Notamacropus eugenii: one gene and its partners. The protein of the gene in region 1 purifies or fractionates together with the protein of each later gene. This does not show direct contact. Links are inferred from orthologs where the notes say so. Each region holds a gene or a part of one and is shown in the gene's direction. Other genes may lie near its edges.

Region 1 (10,109 bases):
GCTAAGTGCTTCACAACAACTTGGAGAGGTAGGTGCTGTCATGGTCTCCATTTTTTAGCTGTTCAGTTGTTTCAGTCACGACCCCTTTTGGGGCTTTCTTGCCAGAGATCCTGGAGTAGTTTGCCATTTCCCTCTCCAGCTCATTTTACAGATGAGGAAACTGAGGCAAACAGGGTGAAGTGATTTACCAGGAGTCACCCAGCTCGAACACCAGCTCCAGTGCTCTGTGCCTGTGGGCCTGCCTAGGTAGGGGCCTCATAAGGAATTGGCCTTTTGTGACTCCACGTCCAGGTTCTGTGCACTGCTGTGTCCCCTTCCTGACTCCAGGTTCTGTGTTGTGTGCACCATGGCGCCCCCTTGAGGCCTCAAATTAGTCTTTCCTGACTCCGGGTCCTGGATGCCCAAGTCCCTGTAACGGAGGTACCAGTGTACAAAACTATCCTTTGTCTGTGAATGGGACCATATCAGTTCCATCTCTGTTCTTCTCTCATATTTTATTTTATCTTATTTTTGCATGACAGTCACTCCCAGCAACCCTCCCCTCTGCCCAGTGAGACTGCGAGTAACAGTTGGTTCAATACCTGTGACCCAGCATCTCTCTAGTTAAAGGACAGAAGAGTTTTCCACCCATAGTTTTCTGGAGTCAATATTAGACACTGCAGATAATCTGAATCCTGCCCATGTTGCTTTCATTCATGTTCCTGCAGTCATTGGGTTCTGCTTTATTGATTCTGACTCATTTCATGTAATTCTTCCCATGGCTCTTTCTCCAGATTCCTCATATCCCCAATTTTGCTCATTTCTTGCAGCATCATCCATTTATTGGAAGTTGTTAGGTCGAGCAGTGGGTGGAGTGCTGAGCCTGGATTCAATAATAATCCTAAAGGGTGCCTTGTAGTGTTTGGCACATAGTAGGCACTATATGTTAGCTATCACCATCATCATTATTAACATTATTATTTTCCCCCAGTCAGCTGGCCCCCTCTTTTCAAGGCCTTGCTGCTATCAAGGAGCAAATACTAGGACTATTTGAGTATGGGTGGATCCTTGATTTCCAGCACCTGCTTCCCTGGGGTATATGGAATGATGGCTCAGACATGAAGAGCTGAATCACTTTTCTCTAGACTGCTTGGACCAGATCCCAACTCCACCTTCAGTGCATTAGTTCACTTGTGGACTCTTCAACATTTGCTATTTCGGGGATTTTTTATCCTTCCCAATTGGATCTGTATATAGTGACCATGTAGGGTTATTGTACTTTGTGGTTTTTTTTTTTTTATTAGTGATTTGTAGTATTGTCCATCTCTTTTGATCCCATAGTGATTTAGGAATTCAATTCAAGATTCATTGAACCTGAACTGAGAACAGGTTCATGATAGGGCCTGGGGCTATGGAGACAAGGAACAATACTTATCTTCAAGAAGCTTACCTTCGGCTGGAGAAAACTCTGTAAATGCCACCCCCACCTCCCGACATACACTGGAAATACAAATGGCTTCTTTTTTGGAGGCGGGGGGAGGGAGCATCAACACTTAGACAAAAATCATTAAACTTCTCACATAAGGAGCAGCATTAGGGGAAAGGGGGGTGGTGCCCCAGAGAATGAAGGTGAGAACTGAGAGCATTCCAGACCCCATGGCAAGTTGGCCTATCAGATCATAAACAATTAGGAAGCACCTCCTATGTGTCAAGCACTGTGCTTTTTACATTCCAATGCAATTCTTAATAAAATTTCCCCACCAGACCACTAGTAAAATTCTAGCGTCAGTGATTTTACTGGTGGCAAAATCTTTTTAATTTTCTGCACCTCAAATTCACAATTTTTTTTTTTACTTTTTTGCTGGCTTTTCTCCTGTTTGGGTAAGAATTCTTCCCTACCCTCTGGTCTAAAAGGGAACACTGAATCCTTTCCATGTTCCCAGTTCTGCTGAATAGACAACTGTTCCCATGGACATTCAGTAACCCTCTCAACTAAGCAAAATATGAGAAAACATTTCAACTTGGCAGTAATTTTTTTTAGTAGTATTAAAGACACCTACCCACATCTCCACTTACTCACATGCCTGAAAAAAAACAAACTTCCAAACATCCAATACAAATCCCAGCGACACAGTGCTCGGCTACTTTGGGAAGGCTCCATTTCTGGAATCCTTGATTGGCTTTGGGGAGGGTGTGTTTGAATTTGTTCCTAGCGTAAGGCGCTGATCTTCGGTTTTAGGGAACGAGTTCTCAAGCTGGGGGATATTAATTCGTTTTTTAAAAAATTCTGTTAACTGTTCCTTACTGTCAATGATTTCCTTTATAATCCAAAGTATTTTATTTTATGCATTTAAACAACATTCTGAAGAGAGGACCAGGGGCTTCACCAACCAGCCTGTCGGGGAGAGGGGGGGCGGGATGTGAGCCCTGCTCTGGGTCCTGGGCATAGAGGCTGGGCCCACTCGTAGTACCTGCTGTCAAAGCAATACTGCGGAGTCCGGCCCCCAGTAAAGTAGACCCATTTGTGCGGTGTTTGGGCCAACTTGCTGGTCTGCAAAGCTCAGTTCGGAGGTTCTTCTGGGTTCTAAAGGCAGCGGTGCGGGTGCCGGGCTCGCGGGGCCGGAGCTGTCCACCGAGGCAGAGGCTGCTCCAGCTCTCCAGGTGATTACAAAGTAGCTGACAGGGAGGAAATGAGCGAGCCTGGGAAGTTACTTTGTATCTATTTCCCAGGCTGTTTCCCAGGTGACAGCGGCCAAGCTCTTCTCGGGGATCTTAAGCGATCGGAGGGGGAGCTGTTTTCATCCTGGGCAGGCATTTGAAAGGTGTTCTGGACCCAGTGCTACGAGGTGCTCTCTAAATGCCCTGCGGTAGAACGTAAGCTGCCCGAGGGGGGGTGAGGGCTCTTTTCTTTGGCATCCCCAATGCCAAAGTCACTTAATTTAAGGATAGGACTGAGTCTCTACCTGTGATTTTCATGGTCTTGGCAACAGCGCCGGGAACACAGCGGGCGCCTACTAAGATCTAGCCGACTGGACCCGCAGCGACAGCTGCTTCCCGTTATTATCATGATTATAAATTATTATGACCGCCATTATTAATCAGGTGAGGCTGGCGGGGAGGGCCGGGATTCGAACCCGCGGAGCCAGGAGGGGGGAAGGGAAAAGAGAAGAGGGGGGAGGAGGAGGAGAAGGGAGGGGCCGGAAGAAGGCGAGGGGGCGGCCGCGGGAAGTGGCAGAAGCGGGAGGCGGGCCCACTTGGAAGCGCCGCCGGGCGGGCGGGCGGGCTGGCGCACAGGGGCCGCGGGGAGGCGGCCGGCCGAGCTTCCGGGGGCGGCGGGGGTGGCCTCCCTCTCGGCCACGGGCCGCCCGCCGGCCGCTCTCTCCGGTCGGCTCGGCGGCGCCCGAGGTGAGCCCCGGGGCCGCTGGGGGCACGTGGCGGGCGGGGGAGTGCGAGGAAGGGAGGGGGAGGGGCTGCGGGACTCGGATTCTGCGGCGCGTTGGATCCCGGGAGGGGAGGGCGGAGGAGAGTGAAGAGGGGAGGGGGCCACGGCTGTGAGTGGCGATGCCCCCACGTGGGGCGGGGTGCGCGCGCACAAGCTTGCGCCGCCGCCGCCGCGCTCGGGGGCGGGGCGCCGGGCGCGCTCTCGGAGCTGGCTGGGCTGCGGCCCACGTGACACGCACGCGGGTCGCTGACGCTCACGTGACCGGTCTGGAGCCCGGTCGGTTTGACGTGAAACTTGGGGGTTGAAGTTCTCCTAAGCCTCCGCGCGGCCGAGTCGCGCGCATCCTGCCCCACTTCCCTCCCCAGACCCCGGCCGCGCGGCCCAGCCCCCGTCGCTGCCTCCCCCGTGGCGAGCAGTTCCCGTTCCGAAGACGTGCTCAGGAGGCCATGTTGGCCCCGACCCGGCCTCGCGAGACTCCCCGGGACTAGGCGGCCTCGCGAGACTGCGCGGCTCTCGCGGGAGGGGGCCGGCCGAAAGTGGGGCCCGGGACGGCGGCGCTGTTGGGGCTCCCGGGTCGGGGGAGCCTAGACTGCTCGGAGCAGGCAAGTGGCCGGGGTGCGGGTGGGGCCCTGGGCACGGCGACACCTCCCCGAGGGACTCCCCGCCCCCGCGGCGCCCTTTACCTGCGAGGGGGGGTAGCTCCTCCCACGTGCCCAGGAGCGCCAGTGGGCGCGGGTCCGAGGGGCTGCCTGCCTTTAGGTGGCGCCTGCTGGGTGCTGAGGTTGCCGGGGGCCGCGCGTGTCATGCCCTCGGAGTGTTGTCACCGCGTCCGGATGGAGAAACGGAGGCAGGCGGTCCGTCAGGGTCTGGGCCGGGAGCGCGTTTGGGTGCCCGTCGCCTGGGCGCGCTGGCAGGGCTGGCACGTGTTGGAGAAGGAACTTTTTCAAATTGGGGAACGCCCCGTGTTTGGGGTCCGCGCCCAGACCAATGGGACCTTGCCTTCTTTCATCCAGAAATGTAAGGTGAGGCCGCAGCTCCTCCTCATCCCTAGCCCTGCCCCCTGCCAACTGGCCCGGATCTGGTCTAGGGTGGGCACCCAGCTAACCAGGGAGACCCGATCCTGAGCCATAGATCCACCTCAGGAGTCTCTCGATCACTTTCAATTTGGCAACTCCTAATCATTTCTAAAGTGAAGAGCCGTTTCAAATGGTCTAATCCAATGTGGCTATTTGGGAATTTTAGGAAGTCTCAAGCTAGCCTGGCCTCCCCTCCCTTCTTCTTTCCTTTGTCTTTACATGTGTCTGAAGAATACAGTTCTTTTGTGGCTTGAAGCTTGCCCTTTCGGAGGAGAGCATGAATCTGTCTAGAAGCTTTTGAGTTCATCAGGTTCTTTAAAGTTGTTGGAAAAGTTGTAAAGTGTTGGCTGTATGTGTGTTCACCTGTGTAGGGACGTAGAACTATAGTTCTTAGCCATCATCGTGTCGTGAGTGCTCTTTTGGGAGGTTCCTCCCGAGTGGATATGCTTTTCTGAGACTTTGTATCCCAGACTGACATCTGAGGAAAGATAAGAGGTGTGGGAAACGTTGTAGAAACATTGGCCCCCGGTTACAGAGTAACTTAGGGATGGCGGCAGAGAGTAGAAGAGTCTGGTGGGAATTTGGAGGTGTGATTTCTGAAGCTGACTCGGCTTACCAGAAGAGATCCAGCTTCAGAAACCAAAATTAGAATATGCATGAGGTGATTTTTCTCCTTTTTTCCTAATGTTATAGAGATTTGTTTGCAAAAACTCCCCAACACTTCTGCAAAAAGTGACTAACTTGAGAGTTGTCCAAGTTTCGTGTAGGTTGTGTCCTGAAGCTGAACTTTTTTTTTTTTTAGAGACAATGCTAAATGTGAAACTTAGTTATAGATTAGCTTCTGGGAATGCCATTCAACCTTAATAGGCTTCCTCTGGTCTAGATGGACATGTATTTCACACCCTGTCAGAACTCTTTCAAGAAACATGCTCCTTTCCTTCAGAAGCTTTGCTTAGACATAATGCTGTTGGCTCAGGAGGAAGAATTTAGCCTGCTAAAGGTCACTGACTTCTTTTAGCAGAGTTATTTAAAAAAGATTATTTTTTTAAGTGTACTGTTGGAAGGGAAGGAGGAGCAGTGTGGTTTGTCTGGATTGAATTTCCATTGCTGTTTCCTATTGAAAGGACGCTTGGTGACTTGAAAAGATCGCTTGCTAGGCTGGACATTTATCTTACTGAGTTCTCCTGGGTCATTTTTCCAGAAGTTTTAAACCTCTTGGACTGGAAGACAAAGAACTGTATAAAAGTGGATAATCTGTATGGACTCTGTCCTGTTTTCTCCCCAGACTGAAAGCTGTGGTCATCGTTTTCCCTGATCTTCTACTTATGTCACTGCTACCAGCCAGTAGGTGAGGATCCTGCACTCTTCTCTAGGGCTTGCAGAGGTAGAGGGGGTTATGGTATCTTAGGGTTTAGAGGTAGAAGGAACCTCTGAGATGACTCCATTTATTCCAACCATGCATTTTTTGTTTGCAGAAACTGAGGCCTGGTGACTTATCCAAGGTCATAAAGTAACCGAGCCAGATTCTAGCCAGCTTTCTTGACTCCAGTGCTGTTTTTGTTATGGAAAGAATGAAGATTTTCTCTCCTCTTGTGAGCTTGAAGGAATTGGTCTCTTCTTACCTCTAAAGTTTGGAGGTGGCTGCTTGTAGGTGGTTCATTGCCACTCTCAGGGTCTCTGGATGTCACCTCTGTAGGAGGAGTGGAGGGAGACTAGCAGGGCTGGTTCAGTGCAGGTGTGAGACTCGAATTTAATCTGGTCGCCTTCCTTGCCAGGAAGTTAACCACTTGTGAAAATGTTTTCCAAAGAAGTTGAAAAAAGTGGGACTCAGCAGAATTAAAATGAATGTATTACTTCCTCAGCCTTAGAGTCAGGCAGCTGACTTAGAGAGGGTTTAACTCCCAGTGTCACAAGTATTACAGAAGTGATGGGTAGCTGGAAACCCAAGGACCTGTGCTGTGGTTCTCTTGTAAAAGATGCTCACTTGTCTTGAGTTTGATTTCCTATTGTAAGTGCTTACATATTCAGAGGTATTTTGTACTTTTTAAAGAGAATTTTAAAAAATTCTAACCACTTTTTTCTTGAAGTCAAATGAACCAGCTTTTATTAAGTACCTACTATGTGCCAGGCACTGAACTTAAGTGCTTCAGACACAAAGAAAGACAAAATAAGTCCGTTCTCAAGGAGTTCACAGTCTCATGGGTAAGAACGTACAAACAGCCACATACAAACAAGACAGACACACATGATCAATTGGAGATCATCTCAGAGGGAAGGCACAGAGATTAAGGAGGGCTGGCAGTGGTTTCTTGGAGAAGGCAGAGACTCAGGAAGCCAGGACAGGTTGCTGGGAGAGGGAACTCCAGTTCTGGGTCCCTCACCCTGAGGTCTTAGAAACCTCAGTGACTCTCAGAGCCCAGCCTGAGCGTGCTCTTCCACCCTTGAAATGACCTTTTACATATTTTGTATGAAAATGGCTGATGGACCTCTCCCTTGGCATTGGGCATGTCGTGCTGGAGTTGTTCTCTTGTTGGAGGAGCAGCCAGGAGGCAAGTGGCAGAGTATGTGGAAGGGGCAAGGCAGAGGCTTTTGTCTTTGATCTTGGAGGTGATGGGAGCCACTGGAGTTTATTGAGTGAGGGGGGAGGGTGACAGGGTCAGGCCTGTGCTTCATGGAAAACGGACTGGATCGGGGAGAGACTTTTTGACTTTTTGCCTGCTTGAGGCAGCTCTGTGGCCCTGTGACCTGGAGTCAAGGACACTTGAGCTTAAATCTGGCCTCTGACCTGGGCCTTAGTTTCCTCATCTGTAAAATGAGGATAATAAAAAATCACCTGCCTCCCAGGATTGATGTAAGGATTAAATGAGAGCTGTATAAAGCATGTAGCACAGTGTCTGTATATAAGAGGTCCTTTCCCCTTCCCTACTGAAGAAAGTCCAGAGGTGAGGTGATGTCGTTGTCAAAGGAGAGGTGGAATTCACACGGTTTGACCACTGGTGGCTGTGGGAGATGAATAAAGCATTTTCTAAATGCTTTGTGCAAAGAATTGTGCTAAGAATATAAATAGAAAAGTCAGGTCCTGCTTTCCAGGAGTGAGAATTCACATGTGGGAGCTACCACATAGGGAAGGTTTTAGCTGCAAATCAGGTTGGTTCTTAGAGTGCAGTGGCAAAGTGGGCATTGGTGCTGTATCTTTAATGCCATCTCTGGTGTTGGTCAGGGTCAGGGACTTTCTTTTCTGGGTCTGTATATCTGTGGCTATTGCACTTGTGGGAGCAGTTTGCTGGGCTGAGTCTCCACAGGGGTGGCATTCTTCAGATGACGGCTGTGGGTACTGGGCTGGAAGCCTTGCTCTTCTACAGGCTTCAGGGTCTTAGGAGGGATGATGGCCAGGATGATTGAGAGTGATTAGGGTACCTTCCTGCTTCATCTAAGCTGGTTTGCCTGCCCTGTGGGTAGCAGTTGAGAATGGTGACTGTCAGGGGTTGCCACTTCCAGGGTGCTGGGTAAATAGTGATGGTGAAGGAAGTGGGGTGATAGTGGTACTCTCCACAGTGATAGAGAAGTTAGGAAAGGGGGGAGATCTTACAGGGAAGGGGACTGAGCTCATTTTGGAAATGCTGAGTTTGAGGTATCTGAGATGTTTGGGTAAAGATAACTAACAGACTTTTGGAGGTCAGGAGGGAGGTTCAGGCCCATGGAATTATCAGAAGAGAGAAGAAAATTCAATCCAGGGGAACTGTTGATCGCTGAAGCAAAGAAGGTCCAGGTCAGAGCTGTGGGGGACACGCAGGACTAGTTTTTGAGTGTGACTCCATGATGGAGTGTGCAGAGCAGCAGAAGCACCAGAGAGAGCATTGTCAGGAAAACCAGAGGGAAGAGGAGACGGGGGATGAGGAATGCCGATGCAAGAGATGCTCTTGTCCTTCCTCATTAAATGGAGTATCTGAACCAGGGTGGGTGCAAGTCTGCACATTGCTGGGGGGGGGGCTGGGTTGAGAGGCTTGCATTGTAGCATCCCTTGAGGTGTTTGAAGAGGGGATTTGCTGGGAAGTCCAGAAGGGGAAGTGTGCACGGGTCAGGGCCAGCATTTACCTTCATGAGGGGGCTTCTCCCCTTCACCAGTGAGTAGTCATGTATTCTTGGCAGCCTCTATTTCCTCTAGTAGAGTGGAGGCTCCTTGAGCACAGAGACTTTTTTTATTTTTTGTTTTTAACTTCGGAGCTATGTACTTTTTTTTTTGAGTAGACATATGAATTTATAAAAGCATCATTAGTCAGGGACACACTGTGGCCTTACAGTGTCGTACAACAGTTGATGTGGAAATAACTGTATTATCTTGGTTAATCACTTAATCTAGCGATCACGACTTGCTCATCTCTGAAATAAGGATTGGACTAGCTGAAAGCTAAGCTCCCTCTGCTAGATTATGGTCATCAGAACCCAGAACTAAGAATAGGTTATTTTCAGGGAAGTCTGGGAAGGATACAATAACATTTTAGACCATCATTAAAGAACAAAATGTTTGAGTTTCTACTGCTGAAGAATAACTTTCCACTGTCATCTGGAAAATTCGTTTCTGTCAAACCACTTCATTGAACGATGCCAGAGAAATAAGTTACAGCTGAAATATGTGGGAAATCTTTGTTTCTTTTGCTAGTTACCTGCTATATATGAGGAATAAATGAGACTATGCATCCTCTGAAATTTGGTGGCTGTGATTCTTCCTGAATTTGTGCAGGAACGCTTCCCCTCTCAAGAGACCCTTTAATAGCTCAGGATGATGGGGCCCAATTCACCTTCAGACACATTTCCTTCTGTCTGTCCCTCTTAGTCTTGCTCTCTGGATTCAAACATCCCTATTTGGTATGAGAATCCATTACCTCTTGTTTGTATGTTGACTGTTCAACTTTTCTCTCTTTTATTGTGTTCTACTGAATGAAAATGAAGTGTACACAGATAAATCACTTCTTGGTGTGAAGAGAATGCTAACCTTGGGGTATTGGGAAGGGCTGCTTGGAGGAGGGGCTGCTTGAGTTGGGCCTGGAAGGGAGCCAGGGATACCAAGAGCTGGGAGTGAATGATGAGGGATGGCATTCCAGGCCTGTGTGATGATCTGGCCAAAGGTGAGGAGGCAGATGTAGGGCCCAGCGGTCAGTTGGGCTGGAATGGAGAGTGTGGGAAGATAAAAAGCAGAGCTGAACCAGGTGGGGAAGGGGCACTTTATGGGCTTCTAGGATCCCTAGCCAATGAGATCAGAGTTGTAGAAAGTGTCTAGCACAGTGCCCAGTAGGTGCTGTATGAGTGCACAGTGCCTGGTGCCCAGTAGGTGCTGTATAAGTGCTGATTCCCTTTCCCAGAGCACTCTTGGAGCTTCTTGAGGGGAATGACAGACTTTTGCTTGTTAGGCAGCTTGTGTGAGCTTGGCCTAGAGAGGGGAGTGACTCGAAACCAGGACCATTGCAGCAGCCAGTGGTGAGGGAGACAGTGGAGAAAAGGGGAGAGAAACCACACTTCCTTTAGGCATTTTTTCCTTCTTATGGGTTTACCTGGGCTCATCACTTCTTTTCTGCTGCCCAAGTCTTAGCCATTTACTTTTTGACCATAAATAA
Region 2 (10,109 bases), on another chromosome or scaffold:
AAAGTTTGGCAATTGATTGGATATTTAGGGTGAGTGATAGTAAGGAGGGTGAAGACAGCTCCTAGATCTTGAACACGGATAACTTGAAGGATAATGATGTCCTTCAGAGTAATAGGGAAGTTTGGAAGAGGTATGAGTTGGGGTGAAAAGACAGTGTAATGGTATCCTCATTCTGTCACAAGCTATCCATTCCTGTGCATCCTGCACAACTCACTCTCTCTCACCAAAATGAAAATCAAGGAATCGGGTCTCTCATTCACCAGACACTGCCCCACTCATGAATCACTGTCCTGGAGCACAGAACCAACTCTCTCAGGATGCTTGCCAAAGTTACTTCGTGTGCTCTGGGAGACAAGGGGTTGGTATGATTGGGGGAAGGGCTAGATTTTTCTACTGGCATCTGCACAGCTGTGGGTGCAGTGGGTGCCTGGGTAACAATTAGGTTAAAATTGGCTTGTGGGGCTAATGCTCTGCCCCCAAGGAGGGAAACTGGGAGCTCATGCAGGAGGGAAGAGTTAGAGTGGGAAAGTATTGAGGACAAGGATAAGTATGGTTGTGTTGGGGACAATTCAGGAGGGTGGGATGCAACCCATCTTCCCAACCACCTTTCAGATTGATCACATACTCTTTGGGGGCAGATCATATCCCCCACTTTGTAGACAACTTCTCACCCCCACCTCACATTCTTTATACCCAGGTCATCTTCTCACCATCTCTTGCCTCTAACACCTTGTCCTCCCTCCCCTCCCCTCCTTCTCCATTCTAGTTCTGAATCAAAATGAATACTGCCAATGCTACTGGAAAGGGTTCATCATTCTAACCCCCAATGATGCTATTCATCATCCCCACAATTTTTCAACCATAAAAATCCCTTTCTGGCCTCTACCCCCCTTCATGTGTTGTCTCCTATTAGAATGTAAACTCCTTGAACGCAGGAATTCTTGTATTTGTGTTCCCAGTGTTTAGCCCAGCACAGGGAAATCATGAACATTTAATAAATGCTTTTTAACTCTTTCATTAAACTACTTATTTCACAAGGTTGTAAAAGAAATGTGAAAGTACTTTGAAATGGTGGAGCATTATTTAAATATAAGACATTATTTTAAGGTCTCCAGTCTAACTAATTTCATATGCTTTGAACCTGAATGAGATTATTCAAGTAATATGTGGCTGTGCTGCTCTTGCTTATCAAGTTGTCAACTGAATCTCACATTCCAACTACATAGGAAAGTGTCACAAATTCTCCCTATGGATTGAGTAAAAATAGATGTGGAGGACTGAAGATATGTTATTAAGTGGGAATCCCAAAGGAGTCCATGCTTGCTTAGTAATATACCCCATATTGAGAAAGGGTATTTCTCAACATGGGGTATGTTCCAACTAACAGCCTAAGGATGTTGTGAGAGGGCTAAAATCTGTAGAAATACTACAGAGGAAGTAAGAGCTGGGAGGGGCCTTGAATTCCATCTAGTCCAATCCCCTTATTGTACAGAATAAATATATAAACTGGGGCATACATAAAGTGATGATATAAATTAAGCGACAAAGCCAGGATCAAAATCCACATTCCCAGCTGTGTTTTTTCCACTCTGCCATACTGCCTTTCCTAATTTAAATTTCAAATAATAACTTGGGAGAATATAAATTTCCAGAAATGCTCAGGAATACTCATTTGATGCTGTGATCAGAAGGGTTGTGTGGTTACCTAAAGTCAAATTCAACGTATCCAAAATAAAACTGATTATCTTTTCCCCTATCGCTAAATTTTGCCCCTCCTCCAAATTTCCATCTTCTTCTGAGGGTTCCACCATCTTTCCAGTCACCCAGATTTGTAATTTGAAGCAATAACTGACTCTTCCTTCTCTTTCATTCCCAACCCTTTAATATACAACCAGTTCCCAAGACTTGTAGATTCTACATCCATTAATGTCTCTCATATGCATCCTCTTCAATCTGGCACCGCACCTTAATTCAGGCCTCTTGATTAGAGTATTATAATAGCCTAATTGATCTCACTATATCCAGTCTCTCATGGTACAGTAGAAATAACTTTTTTGGGAAATCAGCCATATATTTAACTTGTTCCACCTTAGCCAAGTCATTTTACTTCTCTGGACCTCAGTTTCTTTATCTGAAAAATGAACAGGTAGATTAGATGATCTCTGAGGTTTCTCCTAGCTATAAACCTATGGTCTTTTCTAATCTATTGACCACATACCTACCAATCTAAACTTGCTAAGATACAGGTATGATGATGTCATTTCTCCACTCAAAAACTTTTAGTGGCTCCCCATTTTTTAAAGAGGACTATTCACTAAATGAGTGTTACCTTATTCTAAGTGAGTACCTGAAAAAGCCTTAGCCTAAAGAGGCCAAGGTCTCCCATTGCATCCTGGGTGGTCTCCAGTCATCCTGATGAATATCTGGTCACTGGATTCAGATGGCTATGGAGGAGAAGTGAGGCTGGTGACCTGCACAGCCCTCCCTCCCTCAAATCAAAGTCAAGTGCAAGTCATGTCATCATTCCCTTGATGCCATGGTCCTCTTTGAAAATGAAAGACAAACATAATAACCACCCCAGGATAAGATATGAACTGCTCAGACTGGTAATCAATGCCTTCTACAATCTGGCTCCCATCTACTTGTCCTGCTTTATTTCTTATTCCGTAATAAACTCTATGTTCTAGTCAAACTACCTAATCTCTGAACTTGGCATTTTATTTCTGACCTCAATGCCTTCTGACAGGCCAGTTCTTTTCTTCTCCCTTCCCACACCTCACAGTTGCAATAATAGTTATAATGATAGTATATATACATATGTATATAAATCCATTAATTTTTCCAAAGCAATTTCTTCACATCAACCCTATAAGTAGGAAGCATTATTACCCTAATTTTACAGATGAGGAAACTGAGGCACAGGAATTGTCTTGCCCAGGGTTTCAGAGCTGGAAACTTAAATTATCACCTCATTCCTAGTACAATGTTTTCTCCACTATATTATGAAGTTCACCCGTCCCTTATTTCTATTTTTCAGAAGATACATATATAGACGTACTTATACAAACAAATGTGTATGTATATATGCGTGCATATGTGTATGTGTATATATGTTCTAAATTTTTTACATTATTAACATTTAAAACTGCACTAAGACTCTTGGGATATTCTGAAAAAATGCACAAGTATATGAAATCACACATAACATACCTGTATATACGTGCCATTATGTATCTAATGTATAGGAAATTACAGACGTAGCTGTGCATTGTGAAAATGTATAGGAAATAGGCACAGAAAATTAAACATGTATGTGTATGTATATAATTCTACACCTAGATATTGTTGACCTGAAAACTTGGTTAAAGAAAAGGCAACAGGCTAAATGCATACATTTTATGATTTAATTAATTAATTAATCAATTCCCTATTAAAGACAACAGTAACATAATGCATTATGGAGCCAGAAATGTTCTGGCTACCTAGTGCAGAAATCTTCTGGCTTATATACATTTTGCTGTGAGAAAGGAACTCTCCTAGTTGAACAAATTATAAATTTAGTAAGACAAGACAATTAACAAAGTAATGTTGGTCAGGCCTTGTGATTCCAGGCTGGGTAAACATATGTCCCGGTGACAAGGAAGGAAATCCTACCACTAGTGAGTGGCAGGCTTCCTGCCCTAAACAGATAACTGACATAGGAAAGGGTAAACAAAGTTTAATAGAAATTACGACCTAAGATGTCTATATTTTCTTTACCATTAATATGCCATAACATAGTGTATGTCTATAGATAATAAGATATAAAGGAAAGTCCCATTATTCAAGATAGTGTCTTAGGTTAAAGGTCTCCTAAGGAATGTAGAGTCAGCCTTGGCTGGCTTTGTTGACATAGGAAGAGGCACCCTCTGAGTTTGCTTCAGAGAGAACAAAGAGATTATTCCAAAATTTTATATTAAACATTATCAATATACACACTCATATGTGTATACACACACACACACACAAATACAATTTCCCATGCTGTGTGTGTTTGTTGGGTCTCCTAAAAGTCTTAGTGAAGTTTTAAGGTTTCAGAATGTTGTGTGTGTTCGTCCTTCCTTGCTGGAGAAGACCATGCCACCAGAGACATGATGACATGACTTGCCCTTGACTTGTGTTGAGTGAGGGAGGGAGGGCTGTGAGGTCACCAGCCTCACCTCTCCTCCAGAGCCATGTGGATCCAGTGACAGATATTCCTCAGGAGGACTGGAGATGGCCCGGGATGCCCTGGGAGACCTGGGCCTATGCAGGCACTCACTTAGAGTGAAGGAATGCCCATTCAGTGAACAGGCCTCTTTAAGAAGGAATCAGGGCACGGCCCCTTTAATGAGGCAAAGAAAAAGAAGTACATCAGCTGGGAGGGAAACGGCAACAGTTACCACTGATAATCACTCTTAAGGCGGGAGGGTCTGGAAAACAGCCCTTATGGGGAGCCTGGGCCGGGGCCTGCTGGGTGCGATCTATGGGCGTCTGAGGGAAAGGAAAGAGAAGGTTTAGCTATGTAAACACTCTGGAAGGACCCAACTCTCGCTCCTCCCGCCCTCTGCCTCCTGGCCCCCTCCCCCCGCTCCCCAGGCCGTCCGTCCGTCTGTCTTTTTCTCGGTCTCTCTTTTCGCCCTTCCCCCTCTCTCGTCTGTGTCTCGGTGTCTCCGTCTCTCGTGGGTCCCTCTGTTCTCCCTCTCTGTCTGTCTGTCTCATCAGTCGCGTACCCCTCCTGCCCAGAGGATCTCTAAGGTCCCAACAAGTCCCTTCTCTCCGAACTTCGTTTTGCTCATCTGTAAAAGGAGGGGTTTGGATTAGGGGACGTCTTCCCCACTCTGCCATAAAGGGGCAGCGAGAAACGCCAGTAAATCCTTTAAGGAGTTTGAGTTACTGACAATTTCGGCCTTCGCGGCTTGCCGTAGCCCATCTCGGAAACAGCCTGGTATTGTGTCCTTACCCCCTCCTCCTCCCTCTCTCGGTCCTTCGCTCCGCCCCTGCGCTCGCCCCCGCCCTGTCGCCGCGCATGCGCCCGGGGAGCTGCCACTCCACATTACCCGCCTGGCGCCGGGAGGAGGAGCCTGCGCTGCCGCTGCCACCTCCACTTGGTCCCGGCGGGCGCCTGGTCGTCCGTCCTCGCCCGGGTCGGGCCGCGCTGCGCTCCTCATGAGCGGTGGCGGCTGTTGAGGCTTCGCCCCGAGCGGAGGTGAGGTAAGCGGGCGGAGGGCGGCGTCCGTCTGCGTGTCCGACCCCGGCCTGGAGCTGGGCCTGCGAGCCGGGAGGAACGGCCGCGCCCGGACCCCGGACCCCGGTCGCTTGCCAGAGCGCGGGGGACGGGCCTGCGCCGCCAGGGCCGCCTGCTCGCCAGCCCGGGGTGCGCCCCCTTTCTCCGAGGAGAATCTGGCCCCCTCCGGGCCCCCAGTGCCCCTCACCCGCATGCAGCCTGCGGGGCCCCCTCGCCCTGGTGTCCGCGTTCTCCTCACCTCCCCCCCTCCGGCTAACCACCGACGCTCTCTCCGTTTCCCCCACCCCATCATTCCTAAGCGTGGACCTCGTTTGTTCCCCATTCCTCCTCCCCAGAAGGACAGGCCCCAGTTCTACCCTGCCCTTCTTCAGCTGTCCCCCAGTCTTCCCAAAAATACCTTGGCAGCGACCAAGGCGGTGCCCCCCATTCCTCAGACTCCTTCCCCGTGCCTTCTTCAGGCTGGCCAAGCCCCAAAGCTGCAGTAGTTGCCTCTGCTCTTCCTCCCCTACTCCTCCAACACCTTTAGGAATAGCTTTCCATGAATTGGGAGTGTACCTCCAGTTACCTCCTTCCCCATTTCTCATAGCTGCACTAGCTCCTCGGGACTGCACTCAGCATCCACCTGCACCCCTTTTTCCAGGTCAGTAGGGACAGATCACTTTCACCTAATAATACAGTCACACTGTCCCCTACTCCTCTAAAAAGCCCAAAAAACTCCCCTTTGAAACACCTGGATTTGGATTCAGGATGCTTCATTATACAGTGAAATCCCCGTTTTTACCCTTTCTTTACCCCATCTAGAAACATCTGGGCTTGGACTCAGAAGGAATGCACTAGCTCTGTTACCTGTTTTATCTCTAGTGCACCCTAACCTCTAAGCAGCCAAACCCCAAGTGTTTTCCCTCATATCCCCTTATCACATATAAGAAAAATGGATCCTGAAACGACCAGGTGACGCTTAAGAGGGTGGCATTCCCTTTTTTTTCAATAACTACCCTTTCAGTTGTTCCTTTTCCCCCATTCCACTCTTTTACTCACACAGCCTGGCCTTAGCCTAACTCATTCTGCTTCCTCTCCCCTAAAAACTCTGAACCATTAGTTGTGAATAGAGAACAGGATTTCCTTTTCTTCAGTGATCCCCTCATGGTATCAGCCATGGCCCACTTCCCTGCCCCTCATCCCCTGACTCAAAACCCTTAATTTTGAGTCAGACTGTAGGATGGGCTTCTCCTATTTTCAGGGATCTCCGCCTTTCTAATTGCACATTTTCCTTGTCCAGCCAATCACACTTTTCTCTTAGCCACATCCTCGGAATGACCCCTTCTCTCCCTGGGGCTGGGGCTATATCTTTCACTGAAGGAGGTAGGTTTTTGTCTTTACCCAGAGCCTTTCACCTGAGCTTAGCTCATGCATTTGGGGGCAGAGGGAGAGCTCTTCTCATTTCTTCAGCCAGTAGTCCTCTGGTGTGTTCCTGGTCAGAGTTCCTGGCTTGGTCTTCTCCCTACTCAAATATTTCACTATTTTTTTGAAGTGGTTAGGCCATCTACTAAATGTTATTTTCTTGCTTTTCATTTCTTTGATGCCATTCTCTTTTCCTTTCCTTCTGATTTCAAAAGACTTAAACTTTGCCGGGTCCTGACCACCAGATCCCCTAAACCTTTCCTAGATATATACTAGGGGTTAGGGTTGCTAATTAAAACCTGGGATTTGTATGAGGGAAAAAAAACAGGCCTGATACCTGTGTGTTTTTTGGTCTGCCAGAAGACTTGTAAAGTGAGTGCTTATGATGTAATCCCTCTCTCCCACCTCCATCCTTCTCTTTTCAATGATTCTTTGGCCAATGTTAGTATTATTTATAATGACTTGTTTCCCCTTAGAGCAACCAGAAGTTCTGGTAAGACATTTTAAATTAAATTAGAATTCTCCCTAAATTAAATGAAGAAATTACAATGTCTAGTCTAGTGATTTTTAAGGTTTTCTGATGGAAAAAATAGGAAGTTTCAAAAATAGACATTTACCTCTTCTCATTCAACTGGTACGTGCTTGATGTAAGGCAAGTAATGGAAGTTAGTGTTGAGGCTACATCCAGAACTACTGATCTAAGAGGCAGGTGAAATAATTACTTACAGTACAGATTTTCAATACTTCCCATTGTCAAGCTGAAATCTAATTGAGCTGCAGTAGAGATTTTTTTTCATCTGCAGTATGAGTCTTGGTTGCAGAGTATCAGTGCAGCATTTCAAGCTTTGCTACAGAAGGCAAGGCAGTTGAAATTCCAACACAAAGCTGACTTTGGCTTGCACTTTTCGGCTCTGTTTCCTGGTTGTCTCATAAGCAAATGAGCTTCTCAGCTCACTAGGGAAACAGAAAACATCCTTATGCCTATAGTATGGAAACTGTAGCAGTCCATAACAACCATAAGGCTTCAAAAGTACCCTGGGCTTGTATTTTAGTGTATCTGCTTAATGTGTTCCACATGATTTGTGTCTTGGAATCTGGGTAACTTCTGAAACTGCTGTATCCTGCTGGGATTTAGTTTTCCTGTCAGTCTTATGAATTTAAAAACAAAACAAAAAATTCTTTAAAAATAATCTTTAAAGAAATAACTAGATCTTGGCTATTCCCAACAGCATTTTTAGGATTTTGAATAACAATGGAAAATGCCTCCATAATTTGGAATATTACTGTATATGGAATGCAAAGATAGTTCAAAGGTAGCTTGGTTATGAACAATAAACTAAAAGGTAGGAACCGGAAGTTTAGGATTACTATATTCTTTCTCTAAATTTATTTCAGTTATAAATTTATCCTCAACCTGAGAAGTTTTTGTGTGATAGGCTTCAGTATTATGGCTAAATGTTTATTATTAACTTTTTCTGGATATTGCTATGTTAAATGAGATATCCTTTTAATAATGGTTGTCCCTCTACTTCCTGTTCCCCTTACAGGTTCAAATTACTGAACACAGGTTTTCTTTTCATTATTGAAGCATTCTGGTTGATCATCCCTTCAAGCACCCTCAATCTGACTTGCTAGTTTCAGAACCATGGCAACTGAAGAAAAGAAACCAGAGGCAGAAGCCACCAAAACACAATCTACACCTTCCTCATCAACCAATCAGAGCAAGGTGTGTTCTAAAAGATCTGATGTCCTTTTAGGTGAAATTAAGCATGTAAAGACTTATATTGAAGTAAGGTTAATCCAAAGGTGGGTGTGTTAGAGCTAAACTCTGAGCAGCTGAGCCAACTGCTACATTTTCATGTGAGCGTTTATACCTTGGAAATCTGGTTAATGCTATAAATCTGGGCTTACTGTAATTGTTTTGTTGATTATATAGACAAAGTGATAGGGAAAATGTTAATAATAGAGACTAAACTTAAAAGTGTGTCATGTACACATTTTTTTCTCAGAGAGCAGGTTATTAAACATTTACCAGCACAGTGGGGTTGATCTCTTGGCCCCTTACTATATTGTTGAAAATTGTTGTTTCTCTTTTTCCACCTAAGTAAAATGCTATCAATAATACTTTTTCACCCATTCTAACTTTGTAAAGATCTGAGTAGGATGACTGTGATCACTTTCTGATATTTAATTTTATTCTTTCTAGCCCGCACCTGTAAAGCCAAACTACGCATTAAAGTTCACACTAGCAGGACACACTAAAGCTGTATCTTCGGTAAAATTTAGTCCAAATGGAGAATGGTTAGCAAGTTCTTGTAAGTAATCTCAAATATGTAATGTCACTACCTAATTTGGTTGTTGAGAAAATTGAGGCTGGGGTTTCAGTCCTTGAGATACTGCTGATTTAGCAACCCTTCCATATTAAATTGTTCTTGTCAGTATTGCTGACAGTTGAGTTGAAGGAACCTCAGGTTAATTTGACCTACTCATATCTGAATAGGAACTCTATAAAATAGCTATAGTTATTGTTCATCTAGCTCCCATTTAAAATAACCTTTGTGAGGGAGAATCCACTTTGTTCTGAGAAAATTCTCTCCTCTTTTGGCTAGCTCCAGTTGTTAGGAAATTTGTTCTTTATATAGAGAGTAAGTTTGTTTTTCTGAAACTCTGAACTCTTGTCTCTAGTTCTACCCTATGGAACCAAAGAGAACAAGTTTTGATCTCTTTCATATGATAATTCTTAAATCATCTTAGGATACTATATCTGGAGCTTTCCAGGGATCTTGTAGGCCATATAATCCAAGTCCTTATGGGACAGAGACTTGTACAAGGTCATAAGTAATGTCAAAGTTATACATCACCCTCCAGGTCTTAAGTTGAGCATCTTAAGTTGAATTCAGTTACTCCAGTGACATAATTTAAGGTGCATTTAAGAAAAAATGTATACAGATGTGGATACAGAGCTTCATATAGAGTCTTCTTATGTTTTACTTCTGGTTTCTTCCTTTGTTTTATGCATTAAAGCAGCGTAGTGTCCAGGCTAAGATGGCATTCTAAATTTAGACCCAGGTAATGCTTCAGTATGTGAAAGTAACTGTCTTCTTGAAACTATCAGAAGAGCTTACACTTTGGCAGGCCTGACCCAGTTAGTTGGGAAAATTTTAAATATAGTCCTTAAGGCCTATCTGAGAATCAACTTAGCTAAGGCCAGAAGGCTGACCACTAGGTGATTTAGCCATAGCAACTCATGAGTACCATCCAGTAAAGCAAAGAATGATTTCTGTTTGCCTTGGATCAGTGCCCAGATCAACGAAATTTTAGCTCCCCAAAGTAAGATTGAATTAACCTTTTTCAATTGCTATATTTTACTGGCTCATGTAAGTAAAACTTAGTCCCCCCAAAATTCCCCTATCTCTGAAATGAATTTTTGCATAGCCATATC
Region 3 (10,109 bases), on another chromosome or scaffold:
GTATTTTAAGCATTTAAAAACACATTCTGAGAAGGGGTCTATGAGCTTCACTAGACTGCCCAAGAGACCCGTGGTGCAATAAAAGTTAATTAAGATGACCTATTTCCATTCCTGGGAACTAGTTCTATCTCCTTTTTCTGGATGAAGTATGTATGTAGTTTTTGTTGTCTGGTCATTTTCGTCATATCTGACACTTGGTGACTCCATTTGAGATTTTCCTAGCAAAGATATTGAAGTGGTCTGCCATTTCTTTCTCCACTTCATTTTTACAGATGAGAAACTGAGCAAACAGGGTTAAGTGACTTGCCCATGATCACATAGCTAGTAAGTGTCTAAAGGCAGATTTGAATTCAGGAAAATGAGACTTCCTGACTCCAGGCCCAGTCTATCCACTGCACCACCTAGTATTCCTCTCTCATTCCACCAAAAAAGTCAAAAGGCCTAGCCTCAGAAAATAGGAAAGAGAACTGCATCAATCTTGTTACTTTTGTATCATGCAGCTAAAATATATCTGAATTTGTGTTATCGTTAGAAGTAAACATATATTTACATATCATCTTATGTTTATAAACCATGTTCAACTATTTCATTTGGTCCTCTTGAGAACCCTGTGAAGTAGGTAGTCCATTATCTTCATTTTGTGTATGGGGAAACTGAGGCTCACAGAAACATAACCTTTGTGACCTGCCCAAGTTCACAAAGCTCCTGAGAGGCAGGACAGATTCACATGCAGCTCTGACTCTACTATTGGGGCTCTGTCCATCATAGTCTGCAAAAGGTAACAACTTGAAAAGATTCGATTTGATACTTATTCATGATAGAATCTATTTTGTCTCCACACTGCTCACCTTCCTAAAGCAGTGAGGTCCCAGAAAATATTGTTTCACTGTTTCATTTCATTAAGCTCTTTCCTCAACAATCCCACATCTAGGGATCTCAGGACCCTAAGTCCTCAGTGTCATGCAAAATTTCTAACATCCAGTTTCCAGTTTTAAGCAATCCTCAAGTGTTAAACTAACCTGTTTTACAGCAATGCTGACTCTAACAGAGTTGATGGAACCCTCGATCAGAACCTTTTCCTTCTCATTCCTGCTGATGGTCACAGGTTGTAACAGGAGTTCTTTACTACTCCTATAAATGCAACATCAAAGATTCCACTGTCAATGGATGAAGAGAAGTCCAGAAGACCCTACACAACAGGACCTAAAATCACCAACTAAGATAAAAGCACAAGGTGGCAGACACAATCTAGCTAACTGCACAGATGATTCAAAACAGGAACCAAATACCATATCACACCTTCGATAAACTAACATGACAAGACAGAAAAATGATAAACATTGGAGAAGATGTGGGAGAGTTGGAACACTAATGCATTGTTGGTAGAGCCATGAGCTGATCCAACCATTCTGAAGAGTAATTTGGAACTATGCCCAAAGGGCTATAAAAATGTGCATCCCCTTTGCCCCAGCAATATTGCTTCTAGGACTGTATCCCAAAAAGATCATAAAAATGGGAAAAGGACCAAAATATTTATAGTAGCTCTGTTTGTGGTGGCCAAGAACTAGAAATAGAGGAGATGCCCATCAACTGGGGAATGGCAGAACAAGATGTAGTATAAGAATGTAATGGAATACTATTGTGCTATTAAGAAATGATGAACAGGAAGACTTCAGAAAGGCCTGGAAGGACTTATATGATGGACTGATGCTGAGCGAAGAGAGCAGAGCCAGGACAACATTATACACAGTAATAGCCACAGTGCTCCACAGCTGTTTACGATAGACTTAGTCCTTCACAGCAAAGCAAAAACCTAAAACATTCCCAAAGGACTCATGATGCAAAATGCCATCCACATCAAGAGAAAGAACTACGGAGTTGGAACGCAGAATGAAGCAAATTATTTTCTCCTTTGTTACATTTTGTTTTTCTTATGGTTTCTCCCATTTGTTTTAATTCTTCTACGCAACATGATTAATATGAAGTGTGTTTAATAGGAGTGTACGTATGGAACTCATAAGATTGCACGCTGTCTTGGTGAAGAAGGGGGAGAAAATTTGGAAGTTATGGAAGTGATTGTTGAAAACTGAAAATAAATCAATAAATTTTGGGGAAAAAAATACATCCAAAAAAACCCAAACCCCAGGAACTATAGAGATCAACTATACAAGTAGATTAACGAAAAAAAAAATAGCCCAAGTTCTTTAATTATTGATCCAGAATGATTTTTGCACTTATCACCAAAATTTCTTTCAGCTCATGTCACTCACTATATCCTCCCTCAGTCCTTATGGTAAAAAAAAAAAAAAAAGAGGAAGTGATAACTCAGAGATGTGTAAATCGCCTGAAATCATCCCCACAGGATTCTTTGCCCATATGCACCATTCTGGGATGCAGTGCTGCAGAAACAGCTCTGCAGTTTTCACCGACACCTTGGTCCTGGGGTTGCCCTTCAGTCCCAATAAGCAAGGCCCCCATGCTCTGCTTCTTTCCTACCTGACTTCTACCTCTGGCTTGTTGTGCCTCTCCACAACTTGGGAGGAGAAATTCTCCAGGCAAAGCGCAGCCTGCAGTGTGGCCCGAACGGCACTAAGGTAGGGGCGGAGAGTGGCAGTCTATAGGAAACAGAAAAGGAATCAGAGCTGGGTGCCCCCCACCCCTGCTCCAAGAAACATGCATTTCGTTTTTCCTATTACTGGTGTTAACAGGAACCAGACAGCACCCTCAGCTTGGCGGCCCCGGTTGCCCCTTCCCCCAGGGGACCAGACATGGGGGCTGGCAAACTCCACCTGTGCCCTTCATGCCCCACCCCCAACTCCTCCCCAAAATGCCTCTTTGGATCACCTTGGCATCCTCTCATTTCTCCATAATAACTCCCTTCACACAATCCAATCAAGTACTTTTATTGTAGCCCGGAGGGGGGGGTGGCATAGACATCATCGCCAAATTAGGAAATTAAGGCGGAAAATGACTCGGTCAAGGTCACTCAGCCCTGGTCCAGTGCAGGGCTGGGATCCAAATCTCGGTGCCCCATCTCCGAACCCTGTTTTTTCATGCCCCACCCCTGCCCACTTCCCCTTCTTCACTTTTTGCTCTTGCTGCCCCTCCCTGCTCCTCCTCCATCCCTCTCAGTCTTCGGGTCTCGCTCTATCATCCGCCCTCCGCGCATTTGCCCCTCTACTCATCCATCCCTGCATCCCCCCAGCCCCTGCTTCCCCCCTCCTCATCCTCCCCTTCCTCCCCCGTGCCCTCGATCCTCTACTCCCCACCCCCCGGGACGCCCCCTCATCCTCTCTGTGCCCTTCTGCCAAGTCCCTCATCCGCCCTCCGCGCCTTTGCCCCAGCAGCTCTCCCAGCCCCAGGGGCCCACTCAGGCTCCTCCCCAGTGGACCTGCCTCGGCTCCCCCACCGTCCCCTGATCCTCCTTAGCCCCTGGGAAGCCTCGGCTCCCTCCCCAGCGCAGCGTGGCCTCCCTCCCCTTGCCCCCCCGAGGATCCTCAGCGGACGCCCCCCAATTCTCACCATTGCTGGGGCTGGTTAGGCCGGAAAGCGGAAGTGCAGGAGTGCACTGGCTCCGGGGCGCCGTCTCTTCCGGGAGCCGGGCCTGGGCGCTACCACCGCTGCTCCAAGGGCAGGGGGAGCTGGAGCGAAACAACGACAGCTGTTCTCCTCTTCCCCTGAAGCTCGCAGGAACCCCTTCTCTCCGACGCTGGAAACCCTTCTTCAGGGCCTGACACGATGAGGGGAGCTCTGCCGTGTCTGTCCTTCCCTGTCACCCCTGCACCCCCCGCCTCTCTCCCCCTCCCTCAGCAAGAAGGTACAGCCCAGCTCGCCGTTCTGTCTCCATATTAGGACAGGGCCAGACACGGGATGGCCCCGCCTCTTCCGGTTCTGACCCCGCCCGCCCGTCGTCTGTTACTGCCCAGGCCCGAGCCGCCTAGGCTCCCCAGCCTCGCCCGAGAGTGGGCCCGGCCCCTTTGCACCACCCCCGGGCCGCAGTGGGCGGCTCCGCCTGTCCCTGCAGGGCCAGCAGTTACCTGAGCTCGTGGACCTGGCCCCTCCACCCGCGAGGGACCGAGGCCGGCCGAGCGAGCGCCTCGTGGGATCCGGATAGAGCTCGGGCTGTGAAGGTGGAGGCGGGACCGGGGCGTGGGGAGTGGGCGATGACACGGGGAGTGAGGAGGGGCGGGGGCTGTGGGGCTGAGGGAAGCGAGGGGAGGGGAGGATGGCTTGGGAAGGGGGGAGGGGGCGTGGAGGGGAGGGCCCATGGGGGGCTGCAGGGGAGGGGAGGGGAGGGGAGGGGAGGGGACGTGGAGGTGAGGGGCCATGGGGGGCTGCAGGGGAGGGGAGGGATGTATAGAGCAAGGGACTTGGGAGTCTGCAGGGGAGGGGAGGGGGTGTGGAGGTGAGGGGCCATGGGGGTGCTGTATGGAAGGGAAGGGGACGTGGAGGTGAGGGGCCATGGGGGGCTGCAGGGGAGGGGAGGGATGTATAGAGCAAGGGACTTGGGAGTCTGCAGGGGAGGGGAGGGGGTGTGGAGGTGAGGGGCCATGGGGGTGCTGTATGGAAGGGAAGGGGACGTGGAGGTGAGGGGCCATGGGGGGCTGCAGGGGAGGGGAGGGATGTATAGAGCAAGGGACTTGGGAGTCTGCAGGGGAGGGGAGGGGGTGTGGAGGCGAGGGGCCATTGGGGGTGCTGTATGGAAGGGAAGGGGACGTGGAGGTGAGGGGCCATGGGGGGCTGCAGGGGAGGGGAGGGATGTATAGAGCAAGGGACTTGGGAGTCTGCAGGGGAGGGGAGGGGGTGTGGAGGCGAGGGGCCATTGGGGGCTGCAGGGAAAGGATCAGTAAAAGGAATGCCCCTAATTCTGTGTTGGAGAAAGATGGAGGGGCAGGTCTAGGAGAGGGAATATGTGGAAGGTCAAGATTGGATGGCAGGAAGCAGGACCCTGACTCCATCTGCCCCTTCTCCAGCCCTCATTCTTCTAGACACTCTCAGTTGACAGTGCAGCGCTCTCTTCCGCTGGGTTTTGTGTCCCTTCTTTGTTCCACCTCTCCTCAGCATCCTTTAAACAACTGAATGACCACTCATTACAGACATACTAGCACATACCACATTGTCTAGTCAACAGACACATCTTTGTTATTGAGCAGTTGTGACTTCCAGGCACTGTGCGCAAGGGCGGGTAATACAAATGCTGGTGCAAAGGAAAGCCCTGTGCAGTAGGAGCTTCCACTCTGACAAGGGAGATGCCTTGGAAAGTCACAGGGCAGTCTGGGGAGAAATGAGACTGTTGACCTAGGCAGTCCTTCTTAAGTAGGAGTTCTGTTGGGAGCCATCCAATCAGAGGAAGAGGCTTCCTGACCCGGGCTACTTCCAAAGTGGGAGTTCCTGGACTGGAAAGAGGCTCTAGGTTGGGGGCCTGGTAGAGGAAGTCCAGTACTTAGCCTGGAGATGATGACCACGTTGGAGATACAAATATAAGACAGTGCCTGCTCTCAGGAGACTTACATTCTAATTGGGGGAGTTAATGAACATGGAAACTAGGGAAGAGAGCTTTGGTCTGAGGATTCACAGGGATGTGAGTTGTTGTACATAGGGCAGTCAGTTGACCTGTCCTTTTCAGAGGCAACGGCACTCTTGGTTTGAATACTGTGCCAAAGGTAGAAAGTTGAAGAAAGAAGGGTGCAAGGTGACAGGCAGATGGCAAGATGGAAGGCTGAATGGTATCTGATTGCCTGTTACTAGAAACAACGTGGACTAGGTTGCACTTACTCACTCACCAGTCAGGAGGACTGGGTCTGAGTGCAGAAGCATCATAGCTCACCTATAACTCTGAGCATTCTCTAGGGCTGTGACTGAGGTTCACTTCTCTGCATGTTTTTCCTTGGTGATAGCAGCTCCCATAGTTCAACTGTCATCTCTCTTACCTCTTAGAAAAGACTTTTCCTGATTTCCCCTAGTTGTAATCACTCCCTCCTCCAAATTATTTTGTATTTATTTTATGGGCATTTTTGTATTTATCTGTACACATATTGTTTCACCTCAGGAGGTTGCAGCTGACTTCCCAATCTCACATTGAAGGGTAGCATGGCATAGTGGATAGGCACTCACTGTACCTGGAGTCAGGTGGATCTGAGTTCATTTCTTCCCTTAGACGTTAGTTGTAGGATCCTTGACAATTCACTGAACCTCTCTCTGTTTTAGTTTTCTTTGAAAAGCGGAGGGTGGGGAGGGAAGGATCAGATTCCATGTTATCTAAGGTTCTTCCTAGCTCTCAGTCTATGATCCTATGAAATCCAGCTCTCACATTTGTTAGATCTGTCTCATTAGTCGCGTGCTAGACATCTCCAGGACATGCTATAGCCACTGCAATCTCGACATGTCCAAAACATAACTTCTTAACTTTTTCCTTAGACCTCTCCCTCCTCCTGCCTTTCCTGTATCTGGTGAGTATTCTCGCCATTAGGCCATGCTGCCTCTCCCTTTTGTATCTGGGAGTCAGCTTCATCTTCCTGAGGTGAAACAGATTAGCACAAACCCCACTGTCCTTCCGATCAGCCAGGTGGGGCTCGTTGTCTCATATCTCGTATTCAACCAGTTGCCAAGTCTTGGCGATTTTGCTTCCATAGCATTTCTCAAATGTGTCCTTTTGTATTTACTCCCATGCCCTTCTGTGGCTCCCTGTTGCCTCTAGGACAGAGGACAACTCCTCTGTTTGGCCTTTGAATTCCTCCACATCATGACTTCAGGTTCTTTCTTCTTCCTCTAGCACTCTGCCTGCCACCAAACTGGCCCTCCTTGCCCACTCACTCTTGCCAGCACTCACCATTTTGTCTCTGTGTCTTTACAAAGGCTGTCCCCAGGATCCTCAAGATTCAGTTTAAATGCTGACTCCTACAAAAAGCCTATATCATTTTCCCCCAGTTGTTATTGGCTCTGTCCCCCAAATTAATTTGTATTTATTTGGCATATTTTTAGGATTTATTTGCACATATATGTACATCTATATACATATATGTGCATATACATCCATGGGCATACATTTATACATATACAAATTTCTCCTCAATAGCTTATAAATTCCTCAAGGGCAAAAACTATTTTCTTTTTACCTTTGTATTCATGGTACCCAGCACAGTGCCTGGTATGTAGCAGATGCTTAATGAAGGCTTATTGACTTAAATGAGGAAAAAGAAGAATGAAAAAGAAAAGGAAAGGGAAGAAGGCAGAAGTTCAGGGGTCATGGGAGGGAAAAACAAGTTGTGAAACAGGAAGAATGAGGACAGGAGCCTGGTAGGAGACATGACTGGGGATCAGGGTAGGCAGGAGTGGAATTGGGGTCAAATTAGCAGAAGAGGTTGAATGAGAGAGAGCAGGGACATCTTAGAAGTGGGGAGAATTCCTGTTTCCATTGCAAGTTAAGGCTGTCCCAGGACCATCCCCTCCCCAAAGAGGTCCTCTTGTGCCACACCGCCTCCCTGTTCTTGTCAGTTGACTGTCTTCCTCTCCAGCCCTGTAGAGCACCCAAACGCCATGAGTGAGCTAAAGGACTGCCCGCTGCAGTTCCATGACTTCAAGTCAGTTGACCACTTGAAGGTATGTCCCCGATACACAGCGGTGCTGGCCCGCTCAGAAGATGATGGCATTGGCATTGAGGAGCTTGACACCCTGCAGCTGGAGCTGGAGAACCTGCTTTCTTCAGCCAGCCGACGTCTTCGGGTGTTGGAGGCTGAGACCCAGGTGACTTCTTCCTTTGACTGGTCCCTGCCCTAGTGACAGGGTGGAAGAAGGGAGGGGAGCACAGATTGGGTAGTGAGGCCAAGCTGGAATGGAATAGGCAGGAGTCGTCATGTCCGTGCTAGGGTGTGGGTACTTGGAAGAGTTAAGAGAAGACAAAGGAAGCTTATACTTGGGAGGCAGGCCATGTGTGACCCTGAGTGCTGGGGAAGGAAGTGCTGTTGCAGCAAGGTATCATCCATAGCCTGGGAAGGCTGCCTGGATGAATATTTGAGTTATAGAGGCAACCACCAGCCCATTTCTTGAGGGCTTATGTCCCTCAGGCTCCATCTTTTTTTTGGGTGAAAGTGGCTCCCTTCTTTCCTTCAGTAACCCTCTGTCTGTCTTTCAGATTCTGACTGACTGGCAGGATAAGAAAGGTGACCGGCGATTCCTGAAGCTGGGCCGGGACCATGAACTGGGAGCCCCTGCAAAACATGGCAAGCCCAAAAAACAGAAGCTGGAAGGAAAGGCAGGTCATGGGCCTGGGCCTGGGCCTGGTCGGCCCAAATCCAAGAACCTCCAGCCCAAGATCCAGGAATATGAGTTCACAGATGACCCCATTGATGTGCCTCGGATTCCCAAGAATGACGCTCCTAACAGGTGCAGGGCTGGGAGAAGTCAAGGGGAATGGGTTATCAGGAATTGGGAGGGACTCCAGGGGGGATGCTGATCTCCTGGGGGTTGTCATTGTTCTCTGTGATAAGCATGTAGAATGGGAACACCCATCTAGCAGGCACTTAATTCAGTGGCTGATAATAGGCGAGGGGACTGTCTGTGCTCAGGGCCAGGCTCTGCTCCCAGGTTCTGGGCTTCCGTGGAGCCGTACTGTGCTGACATCACCAGTGAGGAAGTACGAACGCTGGAAGAGCTGCTGAAGCCCCCAGAAGATGAGGCTGAGCATTACAAGGTAGACCCTTCTGAGCACCGCCCCATGTCGCACCCTGTTTTGGGCAGGGAGTGTCTTATTTGGAGACTTAGACTACCTCAGGCTCTGCTTCTGAAACACATTGAATAAGGAAGGAAAAACTGCAAAAAAGGTTCTTTGGTTTGACTGGTCCTTATCCTGTTTGCTTCCTTTTTCCATACAGATCCCACCCCTGGGGAAGCACTATTCCCAGCGCTGGGCCCAGGAGGATTTACTGGAAGAACAGAAGGATGGGGCCCGGGCAGCAGCTGTAGCTGACAAGAAGAAAGGCATTATGGGACCATTGACTGAACTGGACACTAAAGGTATTCTCCTTGGTCTAGTCAGTTCATCTTTTCCCTCTTCCTCCTCATTCCTATAAGACCCAGGGAAAATGTCTAAGCTGTGCCTGGCAATCCACTTGCCTCCTTTATATCATCTACCCCTCTTTGGTTCCAGATGTGGATGCATTGCTTAAGAAATCAGAGGCCCAGCATGAGCAGCCTGAAGATGGGTGTCCTTTTGGCCCCTTGACTCAACGACTTCTACAGGCTTTGGTGGAGGTGAGGATCCAGAGGCGTGGGGTGCCCAAGATGCCCTAGTTCAGTGAACTCAGAATGAGACTGAGGCAGTTTGACATGAGAAGCTTGAGCTTTGGATTAAAGGACCTGGTTTCAAATGTTGCCTTTCATTACCTGTGGGATCTTTGGCAAGTCACTTAACTGTTGCAGGTCTTAGTTTCCTCATATGTAAAATTAAGGAGTTAGACTACATGGCCTTTAAGGTCCATTCCACTGCTAGCTCTGTGGTCCTAAGAGCTGGTCCCTAAATTACCTCAAACGGAACATGTTGCATCGTATAGAGCCCTTTTTCATGGGACACAAATCGCTGTGGAATGTGAGAGGAAAAGTTAGGGTGTCCTGTCTCTGAGAGCTCATATCTGATGGGAGGGATACAGGACAGACAGACAAACTAGGAATTTGACATATTCAAGCCATACTTGGCTACATTTTTCATTCCTCTCAGTGCTAGGGAAGAGGGTGTTTGCTGCAGTGATTGTAGTGGCCAGAACACTTGCCCTTAGTTTAAGAAGACTTTTGGGAGGAAGTTAGACAAGAACAGGTTTTTTTTAGAGAGAGGTGGTATGATTTGGGGAAGGGGTGACTTGTGAAAGGTGGGTGGGTACAGAGAGAGTGACCTGTGTAGGAGTAGAGCTGAGCTCAACACTAGAGTCATTGTACTTGTCTCGCTTTCATGGCCTAGGAAAACATCATCTCCCCCATGGAAGATTCCCCTATCCCGGATGTATCTGGCAAGGAGTCTGGAGCTGATGGTGCCAGTACCTCCCCTCGAAATCAGAACAAGCCATTCAGGTGGGTAGTGTTGCCCTCTCTGTCCATCCTCACCCCATCTGTTCTCAGCG

The links.
Region 2: the proteins of ZZZ3 (region 1) and WDR5 purify together in Homo sapiens (affinity purification with mass spectrometry; 5 studies listed by BioGRID and IntAct, counting the BioPlex papers as one, with this or other methods). This does not show direct contact. The link is inferred for Notamacropus eugenii from reciprocal best matches to the Homo sapiens genes ZZZ3 and WDR5.
Region 3: the proteins of ZZZ3 (region 1) and TADA3 purify together in Homo sapiens (affinity purification with mass spectrometry; 4 studies listed by BioGRID and IntAct, counting the BioPlex papers as one, with this or other methods). This does not show direct contact. The link is inferred for Notamacropus eugenii from reciprocal best matches to the Homo sapiens genes ZZZ3 and TADA3.

What each region holds. Positions count from the first base shown.
Region 1 is NC_092873.1:538,892,639-538,902,747, reverse strand, and holds the start of ZZZ3 (ZZ-type zinc finger-containing protein 3), read left to right. Parts: upstream 1-3,240; 5' UTR 3,241-3,384; intron 3,385-3,681; exon of another isoform or gene 3,682-4,023; intron 4,024-10,109.
Region 2 is NC_092872.1:486,764,192-486,774,300, forward strand, and holds the start of WDR5 (WD repeat-containing protein 5), read left to right. Parts: upstream 1-5,103; 5' UTR 5,104-5,232; intron 5,233-8,214; 5' UTR 8,215-8,312; coding exon 8,313-8,393; intron 8,394-8,873; coding exon 8,874-8,982; intron 8,983-10,109.
Region 3 is NC_092874.1:435,649,522-435,659,630, forward strand, and holds the start of TADA3 (transcriptional adapter 3), read left to right. Parts: upstream 1-3,991; 5' UTR 3,992-4,130; exon of another isoform or gene 4,131-4,132; intron 4,133-7,514; 5' UTR 7,515-7,536; coding exon 7,537-7,743; intron 7,744-8,131; coding exon 8,132-8,382; intron 8,383-8,541; coding exon 8,542-8,689; intron 8,690-8,870; coding exon 8,871-9,012; intron 9,013-9,145; coding exon 9,146-9,249; intron 9,250-9,949; coding exon 9,950-10,059; intron 10,060-10,109. Other genes in the region: ARPC4 (actin-related protein 2/3 complex subunit 4), read right to left, coding at 1,020-1,131, 2,497-2,615, 3,523-3,525. UniProt on the Homo sapiens protein: Functions as a component of the PCAF complex. The PCAF complex is capable of efficiently acetylating histones in a nucleosomal context. The PCAF complex could be considered as the human version of the yeast SAGA complex.